Arabidopsis thaliana: one gene and its partner. The protein of the gene in region 1 binds, or shares a complex with, the protein of each later gene. Each region holds a gene or a part of one and is shown on either strand. Other genes may lie near its edges. A codon is read from its position in the direction of its gene.

Region 1 (9,748 bases):
GGAGGACATGCACATATCGTGAGTGGTTTTCCAACTCTAGCATAACATCATTTAACCTAACATTGTCTTTGCTTGCAACTAGACTAAGTAGAATCAAGACACAACTAGTTTTGTTCCTAATGTAAATTATCTCGCGGAAACAACAGTATGTCGCCATCTGTGTTAATCATTAAAGACACAGAAGGATCAACCTTGGGAGAGGCACAGAAATGTTACCACTTCAGATAATGATTCAGTCGCGGTACTTACAGATTAGTTGCTTCTCTTAATCTCTTGTATCTCATCCACATAGAGATTTTTCAAGACATATTTCGTGCGTGTACAAATTAGACATTGCAATGAAAAAGATTGAGAGCTTCAATGGGAAAACGATCCTCCATGTTAACAGGTATAAAAACCTATTGCTTTAATCATTTCCTTCTAGTATTTGGACCAAACAAGTGAACAACACATCTCCATCAATTACATTCTAACAAGGAGCTTGAATTTCTGTGGCAGGATTCACCAGCTTGAGATTCACATTTTGAGATAAGCCATATGCGTATATGTTCTTAATTAGTTGTAAAAGTTTGACATATACACAACGTTGGTCATGTGAATAATGTACAAAATATATTTATAGTGTGAACGAAGTATGCATTAATGGATGTTTGCATTAAAGAGGAGATTGAAAGACTTTTAACGAACTCGTGAAGATGTCCATTGGAAAAACAATTAACTTCACCTACTCTTTCACCTATCCCATGTTCTTATCTTTAATGCCTTCAATTTTATCTCCCTTCCCAAAATACCCCTCATACTAGCCCTAAATCACTTAAAAACCTGCCCCTCCGATCTTTCTTGACATACAAGAACACAACAGAAAAGGGAACCCTAAAAGTTATTATCTTATAAGCTACTTTTGGAGATATCTTCACGGAACTGAACAAACCACTGTGGGGTTGTTGTATCTGAAGAGTGGCTCTCACGCCGTTCTTCCCCTTCCTGTACTTTTGCAGGCGACGGTAACTTCTTTGGAGGTGGAGACGGGACAAGTGAGAGCAGAACCCTAGAGACCTCCTGCATGGTGGGTCTCTCCAAAGGATTTCGCTTGGTGCACAAGAGAGCTAGCTGAAATGTTTTCTTGATGTGTCCTGAGTCCATGCAAGTCACTGAGACCTCTGCATCAACAGCTTCCATTACTGTGTTATCATCCGCCTTTGATAGAATCTGCAACAAAAAAGTTAATGATATCAAATTGTTTCCAAGAATAAACTTGTGAAACACTTTATACTCAAATTCATACCATTTGATGCAAGTTGGCCTCGTTATCCACAGCCTTCTTGCCGGTTAGAAGCTCAAGAAGGACAATACCGAAACTGTAGATATCAGACTTCTCGTTCAGACGCGAAGTTCGAGCATACTCTGGGTCAATATATCCAATGGTTCCAAGAACATAGGTTGAAGCATAAGTTTTGGTGGCTGGTATGCTCTTGGCAATCCCAAAATCTGACAAACGCGCTTCGAAATTCCCATCAAGGAGTATGTTTGATGACTTGATGTCTCGATGGATTATCCTAGGTGTGCAGTCATGGTGAAGATATGCAAGTCCTTGCGCAGCTCCAACAGCTATCTTCAGCCTTGTTTCCCAGTCAAGCTTCACCTTCTTCCCAGGCCCTGCATCATACAATCACTACGTTTAAGTCTTCCAAAAGTAGAAAACTGGCTGAAAAGAACGTAACTGGTCCAAGAGAAGAAGAATAGCAAACCATGGAGAAGATCCCAAAGAGAGCCATTTTCCATGTAGTCGTAGAAGAGGAGGTTGCCAAAGGGAGATAAGGCGTATCCGTGCAAGCTTACTATGTTTCTGTGTCTGATGCTCCCAATGGTCTCGAGCTCTGTTTCAAACTCGCGGAAGTTGCTGGGATACTGATTGTAGATTCGCTTAATGGCAATAGGTCGGGAAGTTTTGGAGGTGCACTTGTAAACTGTGCTAGAAGCACCGTATCCAATGATGTATTTCTCATCGAGGTTTTCTGTAACTCTCATGATATCATCAAACGTGTGAATAGCCATGTCCATGTGAAGAATCACCAGCTTCGTTGACCCTGAAGGATCCATACAAGATATATCATAATGCTGTTGTGAATCTTAATGAACGAAAGAGAAGAGATCATAAACTATGAGACCAAGACCTTCAGGTTGTTTTGAAGAGCCTTTCAAGACTGGTTTCTGCTGCTTTGACTTGTAAACCGCAATGAATATCATGCATATGAGAGTGATGAAACCGAGAACCATACAAATCACGGCAACTCTGGTGAATACTGGTTGGTCAAGAGCAAGAAATGTAGTGAGAGATATGTCAGCTAAAAACAATGCAATAGGATAAATGCAGATTCATATACCTTGTGACTTAGGTAAAGATGGGCCACAGATTGATCCAACCCAGTTCCCGCAGAGAAATGGATTTCCAAAGAAGCTATAAACGAAAAGGTATATTTGGTATACTGATTATATGAAAAGCTAAGACAGGTAACAATATGGCAAAGGTGATACCTGGCCGGGGAAAAACGTGTAAAGTTCTTCATAGGTGGGATTATTCCAGAAAGATTATTGAAGGAGATGTTCCTACAATGTATAAAGAACGAGCAGGAAAAATATATGAATTCAGAAATGATCATAAGATTATCTGAGAGTACACATCTTGTTGTAACAAAGGAACACGTACAGATTGGCAAGACTGAAGCAGTTAGTTAGCTGATCAGGGATTTTCCCATGAATCTTGTTGTTGTTCAGTATCCTGTACATTAAAGAAGCAAAGAAGAATTATTTATATGCATTATACGGTAAATTGCAGAGGAGAAGTGATGGTTTACTTACAGAGAGTTTATGTTCTGCAACTGGCCAAGTTCAGTTGGAATAACACCGGCAAGAAAATTAAATGACACATCGCTGAGAAGGATGGAGAAAAGTTTGTAAGTAGGAAGATTTTATCATAACAGAAGAAATCTAAGCATAAGACAAGCCTTACATGATCTGAATGCTTCGGAGGTTCCCGAATTCTGCAGGCAATGTGCCATTCAGATGATTTCTGCTCAAGTTTCTGACAATTAAAACAAAACTCAAGTCAACAAATCTGAGAGAGTTAATGCAAAGCAGTGCAACTTTAGGGCTTGATGAAGACATACAAGATGAGAAGATGCTCAAGATCACCAAGTGTTAATGGAATTGAGCCTGAGAAATTGTTGCCAGACAGATCCCTGAAACAAAGTTTGTATGAGTTGGTAGTTGGTACACATATCAGTAGGTAACTAGGCGGAACATGGATGTAAATCAGTAGAAAATAACATACAATGTATCAAGATTGATGATATGGCCAAGCTCAGCAGGTATTTTGCCCTTGAAACTGTTTGAGGAAAGATTTCTGCAATTTACAGCATTGAATCAAGATTTACACAGACTAATAGTTCGAATACATAATCATACTGTACATGCAGTCATTGAAGCTTACAGATAAGTCAAGCTTCCAAGATTCCGGAATTCAAGTGGTACAGCTCCACTCAAGAAGTTCCCATGAACATTGCTGAACACAATAAAAGCACAATAAGTTTTCATTAAGATAAGAAGAAGAAAAATAGAGAGAAGCATAAAATGGGAAAGGGTTCATATCATATCTTACAATTGATTCAAGGCAGCACAGGAACTAATGTTAGATGGAATCAGCCCTACAAGATTGTTGTTCGCAAGATTCCTAGATGGCAAAGTTACATCAACCAGCTTTTCACCTAAGATAAAAATTTAAGTATACTGAAGGATAAAAACTCACAGTTCGAACAATTGTTCCAGCTTCCCAAGCTCAGGTGGGATCTTTCCCACTAGTTCATTATCATTTAGTTGCCTGCGAAAGAGTAAACCCTCATAAGATCAAGTATTGAGAAGAACAGATATTGGAGTTTCAAGTTCTCAATCTTACAAATAGCTGAGTCGTGACATATTGCCTAGCTCGGGTGGGATTTGTCCAGTGAGCTTGTTGCCATGGAGATACCTATTTTCAAGAAAAGACATTATCCATATATGTGAAGATCTGAACATATGCATGACACAGAGGGAAGAAAAAAAAAGGGACTCACAGTTTTCCAGTGAATGACAGATTCCCAAGTATTGGTGGAATAGGCCCAGTTAATTCATTGTCACTCAAATCCCTGCGCATTGGATAAGTTTATTTCATTCAGTCAGAAGAGCAAGAAACGAGAGTAGGAAAAAAGCAAGCATTTGAATATGAAAATGACATACAATACAGCAAGAGCCTGCATCAGACCAATCACTTCCGGAATTCTGCCAGTCAACTTGTTTCCTTGAAGTGACCTGCAAGAGAACCCATCACCACTTAACCATATTGACATGCTTTAACAAACCACACAAAAGTGTAAGATGGTCTTAACAATACTTACAGAGTAGCTACTTGGAGGAAACCAATATTGTAGGGTATAACTCCGGTAATCTGATTATAAGATACATCCCTGAAAATGCAAATGACGAATAAGATCACTCGAGTTCTGTGCTGAATATTCATTCCTTAAGGAGAAGACACATACAAGATCTCAAAGCTTGTGCAATTGCCAATGCTCTCTGGGATAGTTCCAGTAAGGTTGTTGCCTCTCACATCACTAACAACAACAAACATTCACTTATAAATTACTCGAAATCTGAGGTTGAGAGTAAAAGAAAATAAAGAGCTGAACCGGATTCACTTACAAGTACCACAGACCCGTCAGCTGACACATATCAGGAGACAATGTCCCAGTTAACATATTCCCACGTAAACCGCTGCAAAATGAATACATCACAATCAGAACATAAATCTCTGGATGCCTAGACTTAAGATAAGTAGATGAACTACTTACAGATACTGTAAAACTTCATTCCAGTAGAGTAACCTTGGTATCTCACCAGTAAGCTGGTTTCTTGCGAGGTCACTGCAAAATCATGAGAATAATCTATTATCATTGCAATGATCCCTTTGCATTAAATAACCTGCTTCATAGATAGAATATTATCTGATTGAAACTCACAGGGTCTTAAGGTTTGGAATCTGAGTTAAGGTTGCTGGTATTGGACCAGTGAGCTGATTATTCTTTAGGTTCCTGCATTAGAATGAAACAGTTGACAAAAAAACGCCAAAATCAGGCAAAGATTACACACGAATGAGAGAGATAAGAAGACATACAGAAACTCCAGCTGTTTGAGTTTAGAGATTGAAAACGGTATGTCTCCAAACAACAAATTGGTGGAGAAATCCCTGAAACAAGAAAGGTTTTTGATTATATAATAGAGATAGATTAAGTTCTCATTAACATGAAACTACAAGCATCAAACAAAACTTACACATAAGCAAGAGAAACACAGTTTCCAATCTCATCTGGAATTTGACCACCCAATTTATTTCCTTGCAAGTCTCTGTAATTAAGAAAGACCAGAGCTTCATAAGGATTTAACACCATGTTTCTTCTCAAACATACAAGTAAAAGAGAGAAGAGAAACGAACATTGATTGCAGATTCATCAAATCTCCAAGGGCAGATGATATCTCTCCACCAAGATTCAGGTTTGACAGATTACTTCCAACATAAAAAAAAACAAAGGCAAATCAGAAAAGTCTGAAATCAAAGAGACAGCACAACAATACGGAATGAGATAAAAAAAAAATCCTTACAGAGAGACAACATTGAGGCTAACGTTATCACAGAAGACACCTCTCCAAGAACAAAAGTCGTGGTTATGAACATCGTCCCAATCAAGAAGCATATTCGCCACGTTGCTGAATGAAGCCTTTATCGCCATCAACGCTTTTCCTGTGCAAAATCAAAAGCTTTTTGAAGTCAATAAACAAATCAAAAAAAGCTTATTTAATCATTTGACACTGATGATAGTCAAATGGTAAAATATGAACCACATGCCAAAAACTAAAACCCCACTAGATCATTAGTATAATAAACTCAACTGTGAAGTGAGCTAGGTCACAAATTATTATCATATTTCCAAAAACACTAAAGTAAGTTTTTTTTAAGAACGAATCAAATGACTTTTGCTCTCTCAGGAACAGTCACTGTTTAGATAGACAGATAAACAGATATGATATCTTCAAAATCGGAAGAAAGGTTACAAATTTATAAAAATTCAAGTTCTCTGGAAAAAAAAGAGAGAAATCTCTCTGGCTCATGGAACAATAGAGAAACAAAAGAGATTTTGAAAGAGCTAGAACCTTCGTTGTTCATTGGAGAAACAGAACCAAGTAGCATGAAAACCACCATCCCCAGACAAAAAAACAAGCCTTTCATGGTCTCTATCCTTCTCATCTTCTTCTTCTTCTTCCTCAAGAGTAACACCACGAAACCCAGAAAACAAGTAACAACCTTTTTTGGTTAAAGACCTCTTTTTCTGTTTAGGGAAAAGTCAGATCCTTTGAAGCTTTGTAGCAAGAAACGAAATTCAAACAAAGAGCAAAAGAAGGGTACAAAGTCGTTCTGCCATTGTTGGGAGAGACCAAAGGAAAAGAGAGAGGGGACCGACACAGGAGATTAGCGTGAACTGGAAGGAAAACAGAGCAGAGATGTTTAAAGAAGAGAGAGAGAAAGAGAGGACAGTCTACATTACTAGAGGCTGAGCTCCGACGCCATGAGAGAGAGAAACTTTAGTACCCTCCTATTAGACAACGACAAAATAATGTCAGTAACATATATACATACATTACTATCATCACTTGTTAAACCCTGCTAAAACATCTCCGATCATCTTAATGAGACAGTGATCGAAATGATTTTTTTTTGTTTTTTTAGTACTTAACGGTAAAGTAACGGCGTTAAACGGAGATTTATTAGGCCGTATGATTTGACGGCGACGGTTCTAAGAAGAAACGCCGTTTTCCAATGCAAAGGTGAAAAAAGAAGAACGTCTTTTAAGAGTCCGGTGAAAAGACATTCCTTTGCTGGGTAAAATCCCGTTGACGCGCGCGTGCATCATTATTAAATTTGATCCAACGGTGGATAGAGAAATCCTATCGTGGACTGCGATGTAGAGAATCAAATTATGCTCTTCCTTGTGATTTTTAGTTAATGCTTTGATAGTGATTGGGTGAAAAAGATGCCACAAACCGGATTGGTTTAGTACTATCCTTTTATCGATTTGAAAATTTTTCTTCAGCTTTCAATATTTTTTACAGTTTTTCATGGTTTTATTGCAACATATTATCGATCAGAGTTGTCTCCTTTGATAAAATCTTTCTATTTCTACCTTGTAATTAGATTGATTAATTTTGGGGTCGATATGGTACCACTAGGTTGAATAAGTTGGTAGAACTGTAGATTGTAATAAATAAAAAAGTAAAAAAAAAAATGTAATAAAAAATGAAAAAAAATGAGCAGTAATTTCACTGTGGATTCAGTGTTAAACAAAAAACACAAGAGCAGAGATCGTGTCTAAAGCTATGCCTCCGTATAAAGCTGTTACTCTTTCTCTATGGAAGCTATCTTCATTAAGCAATTATTTGTATACTCTTTTAAAATTTGTAGGCAAAAGTCAATGTGATCATGAGAATTTTACATGTTAGCTTCAATCAATATGATAAACGCTCAGCTGATTACATGAAAACTATGCCGATCCATAGTTAATGAATATTAGTATTTGTTTTGAAGCTAACATGTAAAAAAAAACTCATGATCACATTGAAAATGAAAACTAAGGTACTGAAGTGACTGATCAAGTTCAAGTCAGAACGTAGGGTCCAAAAGATATCCGAGAAATATTGGTCAAACCCCGACCGTCCGATTGAAACGATGTTTGATCTCGTTACTACTCGGTTGCCCTAATGCTTTGGCAGCTTCCTTTGTGCCAAAATCTCATATCTCTCCTCTTTCCATATTCCGAATCCGACATCAAACACAATGCCAAAAGATGATTTTTTCAATATTAAAATTTATATGGTGGTAACGTAGAGAACAGAAAAATATATATCGAGTTACGTTGGTCCTCTTAGCTTAATATGGACCGACCGTATCTTCTTCCTTGCTGGTTCCGATCTTGATTCTTCTATGTTGTACTACCTACTATGGTCAAACTTTTTGATATATGTGTAAAAGTATGTATTAGTAGATTATACCATAACATAATTCTCCCAACGAAAAATGCCGTTTAATACTTTACTAAAACATTATACTGGCTAAACTAATTAAACTAATCTTTGTAATTTAGCTGAATAACCAGTAATTTTTCTTTCAAACTGTGAAATTATAGAAACTTAAGTAGTGGAAACAAACTGCGACAGTAAAATTATATCAGTAGACTCGGTGACCATAAAGATTTATGTAAATCCACAAAAACGTAAAAGGAGACGGGGGCTCGTATATCCACAAGATTTATATAAGTCTTGTGGAGGTTCAGCTGTATAAGCAACTCTAGGCTTTTAGACTCGAACGGTGCATGGCTCTAATATGTAAGAAGACCAATCTGTACGCATTCTACAGTAGTCTAAACTAGACCAATTCAATTATTTTTTACTATGTTTCCTCTTAAATGTTTTTATTGTTATTGCGTCGAAACAATAAACGAGGTGCTGCGTTAGCTGTTGTGGTCTAGTATATATATATGATCAGTTTTGTGGTTACTGTTGTTAATATCGGACAGTTAGTGAACATGAGTTTTTTATTTTAAGGGTCAAAAGTTAGTGAACATGAGTTAGATTTGTGTGGACTAGTTAGTATGTATATATGATCAAACTTGAGTGAAAATTTGAAATAGTTAATGAAATTAGTCAATACAAACTATAAATTTCTCATACGTAATGACAATCTTCATTGTTCACCACGTTTCAAGCTTTGTATTTACTGATAAGAAAATAAATGAGATTTGATCATATGCCCACATACGTAACATTCGTTTATTTTACAACTAATTCACTTAGTTATGCGAGCATTCAATTACATTGCTTTTATATAAGAAGACTTACGTATATTTATAGGGACCTATAGCTATGGAGCAGACTAGCTTAAGCCTATAGTGAATTTACAAAAAAAAAAAAAAAAGCCTATAGTGAAGAGCCAATCAGAGAAGACAAGCGTGGATTTTACCGGATCCACGTGGCGTGATCAAACAGGCCCAAAACATGTAGTAAAAGCTGGGACAAAAGCTGTGAAGATTGTTTGGTCTAGATGCATGGGAAGTAATTTTAAGTAACCTATGTTTTAAACATTTACATTATTTGGAATTAATATTATATATACACTATTCGATTTTGTTTTCCTTCAATGTAACATTACTCTGGCATAAAGTATTTATCGTATAATATCTTTTATTATAAATTTTTGATGTTTTAAAGATTAGTTTATCTCTTTTGACCAAAAAGAAAGGAAAAGGGATTAGATTTATATCTATGTGAACTTGATTATACGAGTTCGGATAATCGGATCTCAATGTGATATCCATATTTCTTGCAAGACATATCTCTCGTACACCTTTTATATTTATATCCCGCAATCGTGACAACTCTTAATCATTCACTTCATAATATTTCCAACAACATTAAAAGATATTTATCTTAATTCTCTTTTCCTTAACACTAACAAAGTAGCATGTCCATATATACTTTCGTTTTTTGAGCATGAGAAAATAGATTTAACTTTATAAGTTATAACCATTGTTTCAAATTAATGCAGATCCGAGTAATAATAATTTGAGATGCAATAATGGTTGTGTCATATCTTGATTGCTAAACTTGA
Region 2 (5,506 bases), on another chromosome or scaffold:
CCTTTGTGTTATTTCGTTCGTCGATGGAGTATCAACTATCTCATGTAGAACGTACCTTACGTACCATCATATTAAATTAAGAGTATATAAAAAATCGAAAACACAAAAAAAGGAGTGAAAGTTGTAAAATACTAAAATCTTACAAATATGTTCGTTATGATATAAACACCATGCAGTTGTTATTATTAGTCAACGTTTGGGTCGAGTACAATGGCCCTACACGACCGATAGGACAGTGGTTAGAAGTTAGTAAATGGTTACGTGTTTCCAAATTTTCAAAGCTCATAATCAAAATAATTCTCCACCATTTATGTCATCTACACAAATTTATAACCATGACTTGTCCGAACTCCGAATATAGGACCAAAGTCTTGTCCCGTTCGACCCTGAAATTAATACGTTTCATAATCTTTCTATACGTAACGTAAGTCAGCTTCTAATGATGATCATAACATCTCTATAAGTCTAGAGTAAACCATCATTCTCCAACTTATACAATTATTGTTGTAACTAGTACGCTTTTTAGGCATCTACAAAGAAATTATTTGTGTATCTTTTATAGGTCAATGGTTCTTTATTTCCTCTCTATTTTAAAAAGCTAAAATTGTAAAATCAAGCTATAAATATGAGACAAGTAGATACTTTTCCAAATACTAAAATCAAAAGTAGAATAACTTGGTACATCTCATAAGGAGAAAAATAAAAGAAACGAGAGAAGTTAATTCAGATATTGCAAACTTATATGTAAGGAACAGAGTATGCAGTACGACACGAGTACATATGCGGCTTTGTAGTGAAAATGGGAAAAACTCCAAACCATAAATGCTTTTACTACTTTTTACATTCGTTTTCTATAATAATATTATTATTTGTTTCATTTTTTTATAATATGGTCCTGCTGCATACTTACACGTGCAAGTACGATATAAATATTAATCATGATTTATATTGATACCTTACAAAAATTAATAAATTATCATCAAAGAGCAATAATGAAATCTTCATAGCTGTCGAGGGACAAAAACCTATGGGTCCAAACAAACATGCATAACCAGACAAACAAAGTACTTAGGATTTGTTTTGTTAAGTGGGATTTGTTTGAAAATAAGGGGCAAATCACTGATTTTACTGATAACACCAAATGGAAACAAAACAAATATCCATCACTCACAATTGTTTTTGGCGGATTTTGTCAAATAATTCACCATAAGATTGTTTAATTTACAAAAATCCAAAAGACATTTCAACAGGAAATTTTGTGATTATTTATATTATGCAGAAATTTTTATCATTTGCCAAACTCTCTTTGATTAGATATTTAACTATGTTTTTAATATAAAAATATAAGTTTATTAAACTTTGTGCTTTTAACCAAAACATCTTATATTTATATAAAGTAACTATTTCTATACATTTTCACATTTTAAAAACGTAGTTGTGGTAGTTTACCATTCAAAATATTCATTACATTCCACGTTTTAAAAAATTACTTCTACTAGTATATATATATTATTGATGTGTTAAAACATAACAAATTACATCACTAATCCTGTAGAGTTCTTTTTAACGTTTTCTAATTATAGTTCTTTTTTAGTTATAACTTATCTAATTTGCAGAAATTCTATTTAGTGAAACCTATTTTTAACGTTTTAACTTATTTTCAGAAATTCTATGTAGTAAAATGATTTTACCATTAGTAAGATATTTTACTATTTATACCTGTCTAAAACATTTGTCATTTCATGTTACTGATTAAAAACGATTTGTTTTGTGTATGACATATTTATTTTCTTACAAGTTATAACAAAGAAAAGATAGAAATTCACTACCTGAATTAGACATCTGCAATATCAATTGGTTCTACAATGAAGCAAGTGTCATTAGGGTAAAAATGATGAATGCTCTCTTTCTTTCTCGGTACTATCACCCCTCAAAAATTTGCCTTTTCCCAAAGTCCTCAATTTCTTCACATGACCAATTTTTTAATATTAACATATAGTTTTCATTACAATAATTAATCAGAGAAGCACAAGAAATGAGGAACAAAAAACAAAACAAAAAGAATTAAAACATTTTTTTTCTTCTTCTGAATTGTTTAATAATTGATCAAACTTTAGGGCATGAAGAGCTTGTTGCCACACTTGCACCGCCAAGCTTCAGGGTAATACTCCAATGGCATACTTAAACCGGGTTGAATTGGTACGTGAACCGGTTTACACGGCTGACATTTCCCACACTTCGATCTACACGTCGGTGGTGATGAACCCGGACCACCAAACCGCTTATTACTCCTTATGAACCCACCCGGTAAATCCGACCCGGTTCTCTGACCAATCCATCTACCATCTGGTAAATGAATTTAACCACTACTGAGTTAACTCGCTCACCATTTACACATCAAGTACATTTAACCATTGGACTACAAAAAATATTGCGTTTTTAATTACTCAAACCAAAAATTTTATTATGAAATCAAGAAAATCAAGAAATTTTCGGGTTTGAGTTGCAAGAAAAAAAAAATCACATTGTTATTGGTTTCTTACCGGCGGAGACTATGGAGGAGGCGGAGAAGAGGTGGAGGAGAGCAAATGTGACGAGTGCAGCTAAAAGAAAGCGACGGCGGCGACGGAAGGTGCCCATTAGTCAAGAACCGGAGAGGATGCGTATGTTAGCAGAGAGACAAGTGTTGTGGTTAAAATTGTGTGTTTTATTTTTCTCTGTGAGAGAGATTTTTTGGGTTTATGTTTGAGTGTTTGAGGTTTGGGGTTATTCATTTTGGTCTTAAGTCAAAAGAAGCTTAGATAGAGAGTGTGTGTGTGACTGTGAACAGTAGAATAGACCCATGAGCTTGGATTTGGAATCCAAATATTAAATTCAAATTGCTATGTCTTGTTTTTGTTTTCTTTCTTTTTGACTCTATTTTTATCCTGCTTTTTATATCTCTTCATTTGTATACTTTAGTGAGAGTCTTCACTTAATATTAACCTCCTTTTGTTTCTTAACATTATATATTTTTAAAAGTATGTTTTATAAAGATAGATATTTTGCATTAATATGCAAAATTTATAATATTTCATAATCCATTCCTATAACTTTCCCTTCCTTAAATCAAACTATGGTCACTGGGGTTTTCTCCATTTAAATCCATAGAGATTATATACCCTGAAAGTGAAAGTTATAAAGGTTCTTAAATAACAATTATGACAAGGAATTAAAATAGTTGAGCAACTAATGAGTGGGGCTCAGAGTGTAGGCAAAATAAATAGGTTGGGCTTTATGGAAATTTCTGGTCAGGTTTTATTTTCATGTTACTTTTTTATTTTGGCAACCTTTTGATGTTTCTTTTTCTTTTTAGGTTTTCAGTCCTACATTACAATTATTTTATTCATTTTCTTTCTTGTATAATGTTGATATGTATCTCTCATTTTCATTTCTATATATTAGTTTCAGCTTTTTAATATCTTTTGGTGTCACGTTTTTCCTACTCGTTTTGTCATATCGTGTAGGGGTCTTGACTCTTATAGCATGATCGTATCCGGAGATACGTAGAGACATGCACACGAATCTGGAGTTGGACATATGATAATTTTGTATTATATTCAAAATAAATATACACCGTCCGTCTTATGATCATTTTTTGCATTATATAATAATTCTTATATATATCAGTTTATATCATATATAATAGGATCTAATTAGTGTACACCCTCAATCGAAGTAGAATGATTCGAATCATCGTAAATCATTCAACTACTAGATCATTATGAGTACTTGACTATGTTAAGAATCTTACATCATAAAAAAATATGGGATATAAAGTAAAATATAAGGAGTATATAAATCAGTCGACTCACTCTCAAGTGGTTTTCAAGTTAAAAAGTTATGACCAAACCAAAAACAAAACGAGGTTCGATCCAAAACGATGAGTGAAAATGATTCATTATCTCAAATGTGCATGTTAGAATTCTCACATTAAAAGTGAAAAAGCAAACTATGCTAAGATATAAAAGATATGAGTCAATATATTCGTCGTCTTTTGGTACCACTCTTGTAACACCCCCAAACCGTCCTAAAAATAAAAAAGAACAGGGGCGTCACGTATGACGCCCGTAATCAATCAACAAAAGTTCCAAGAACGAATTCGTTCCCCAAAGTTGATCGACCGCGAGTATCTTTACCTCACGAACATGGCCTAAGGCTTTTCAACCCGTACCACATTCGTGAGTTGTGTCAGTTTGGACAGGACTAATATATCACTTGGCCAACTTCGGATTTTTAGAAAACCGCTTTTAAATTGAAAGTTTATTGGAACTAAAGATCTAGAAAGATTTTGAAACCAAGATATCAAAAATGACTATATATATGTCTATATGGTTTGTAAATATTTTTAATAAAGTCCAAATTATTGCATAAATCTTTGACTATATGTGTATGTATGTCAGTAAGAGGAACATGGGTTGTTGCTAGTTTATTTCTTTTAATGGTTGATCATGAGAGATTGTTTTATGCTTTATATCGGACTTCTATCACTTATTTTGAGACAATCCATATCAATAAAAAAGATTTGCCCACAAAAGACAGCATATACGGTTGGGTTGTTCTGCGGTCGTCCAATTGTAGTCACCATCAGATAGTTCAAATCGCAAGAACCACAAAACAAAGATGAGGCCCAAGAAAAAGACTGACTGATATGATTTAAATGGGCCTATGAAAAGAATAGGCCCATTAAAGGATGGTAAAAGTGTCCCTACAAAGGGGGAAACAGGTCCTGACTCACTGACTCATCCTCTGTACCCGACCCACGCACTCGCGACCCCTCTCCCTGCACAAACATAACCTGTACGGTTCTTCAATCACTATTCATATTTTTTTATTTAAATACCATTTTTTTCCTTATAATATAGTAGTTTTCATGTTCATTACTCGATTATCTTTGCATTTACAAAAAAATAGATATTACACATAGTTTCAAAGAACAAAAAAAAGTCAAATTTACACTAACTAGCTTTAGTCCTTAGTTTAGATATATATATCTAAAAAGCTAATAATTTAGACGAGTAATTTAATTAATTCGACTAGATATTATTTGTCTAGTGGTTTATCTACTTTTGTGTAATAATCCAAATTTTAAATTTTGGATGTGGATGAATGAGTTTTGTAGACAATATATATATTTTTATATAAATCTGAAAGAGAGATGTTAGAACGATAAGAGACCATCACATTTGTTAGGATACAGCAATATGAATTGCAATCTTTACTTCGCCTTAATAGCAAGATCTTGAGCTCGATCAATTAATCACTTTCGACTCGACAACACATATTGAGAAAACCAAACAAGAAAATATATATTAGAGAACATAAATTGACATATATAGTGTTCACCAACCAAAATGGTGAACTACTTCAAGTTAGCCTCACAAGATTGTTGTAATCGATGGAAGTTTACAAGTTTAGTTGTTCTGATCATCTTATTAAACCAGTAATCCGACTAACAATTGGCTAG

Evidence for each region.
Region 2: the proteins of ERL2 (region 1) and CLL2 are in contact, whole or in part, in a crystal structure (PDB 5XKN), measured with the Arabidopsis thaliana proteins. Residues at the interface, in NP_196335.2 of Arabidopsis thaliana: Lys153 (codon at 5,116), Arg178 (codon at 4,945), Arg201 (codon at 4,799), Trp220 (codon at 4,742), Tyr221 (codon at 4,739), Arg225 (codon at 4,639), Glu244 (codon at 4,582), Ile245 (codon at 4,579), Tyr259 (codon at 4,462), Gly262 (codon at 4,453), Phe263 (codon at 4,450), Leu264 (codon at 4,447), Gln265 (codon at 4,444), Ala267 (codon at 4,438), Thr268 (codon at 4,435), Ser270 (codon at 4,343), Gln272 (codon at 4,337), Leu286 (codon at 4,295), Met287 (codon at 4,292), Gln288 (codon at 4,289), Ala289 (codon at 4,286), Ala291 (codon at 4,280), Val292 (codon at 4,277), Asp294 (codon at 4,180), Phe313 (codon at 4,123), Lys316 (codon at 4,114), Tyr318 (codon at 4,023); in NP_001031641.1 of Arabidopsis thaliana: Pro59 (codon at 2,269), Gly60 (codon at 2,266), Ser61 (codon at 2,263), Ser62 (codon at 2,260), Pro63 (codon at 2,257), His80 (codon at 2,206), Ile83 (codon at 2,197), Pro85 (codon at 2,191), Glu92 (codon at 2,170), Tyr93 (codon at 2,167), Tyr94 (codon at 2,164), Pro95 (codon at 2,161), Glu96 (codon at 2,158), Ala97 (codon at 2,155), Trp98 (codon at 2,152), Arg99 (codon at 2,149).

Annotation. Positions count from the first base shown.
Region 1 is NC_003076.8:2,226,899-2,236,646, forward strand, and holds ERL2 (ERECTA-like 2), read right to left. Parts: upstream 6,690-9,748; 5' UTR 6,335-6,689; coding exon 6,241-6,334; intron 5,831-6,240; coding exon 5,692-5,830; intron 5,630-5,691; exon of another isoform or gene 5,597-5,629; coding exon 5,525-5,596; intron 5,437-5,524; coding exon 5,365-5,436; intron 5,279-5,364; coding exon 5,207-5,278; intron 5,124-5,206; coding exon 5,052-5,123; intron 4,956-5,051; coding exon 4,884-4,955; intron 4,807-4,883; coding exon 4,735-4,806; intron 4,647-4,734; coding exon 4,575-4,646; intron 4,500-4,574; coding exon 4,431-4,499; intron 4,345-4,430; coding exon 4,273-4,344; intron 4,182-4,272; coding exon 4,110-4,181; intron 4,025-4,109; coding exon 3,953-4,024; intron 3,878-3,952; coding exon 3,806-3,877; intron 3,731-3,805; coding exon 3,659-3,730; intron 3,563-3,658; coding exon 3,491-3,562; intron 3,404-3,490; coding exon 3,332-3,403; intron 3,240-3,331; coding exon 3,168-3,239; intron 3,083-3,167; coding exon 3,011-3,082; and 18 more. UniProt on the Arabidopsis thaliana protein: Receptor kinase that regulates inflorescence architecture and organ shape as well as stomatal patterning, including density and clustering, together with ERL1 and ER.
Region 2 is NC_003075.7:8,437,301-8,442,806, reverse strand, and holds CLL2 (EPIDERMAL PATTERNING FACTOR-like protein), read right to left. Parts: upstream 2,909-5,506; 5' UTR 2,641-2,908; coding exon 2,544-2,640; intron 2,347-2,543; coding exon 2,114-2,346; 3' UTR 1,906-2,113; downstream 1-1,905. UniProt on the Arabidopsis thaliana protein: Acts primarily as positive regulator of inflorescence growth. Endodermal expression is sufficient for proper inflorescence architecture. Redundantly involved with EPFL6 in procambial development regulation. Controls stomatal patterning.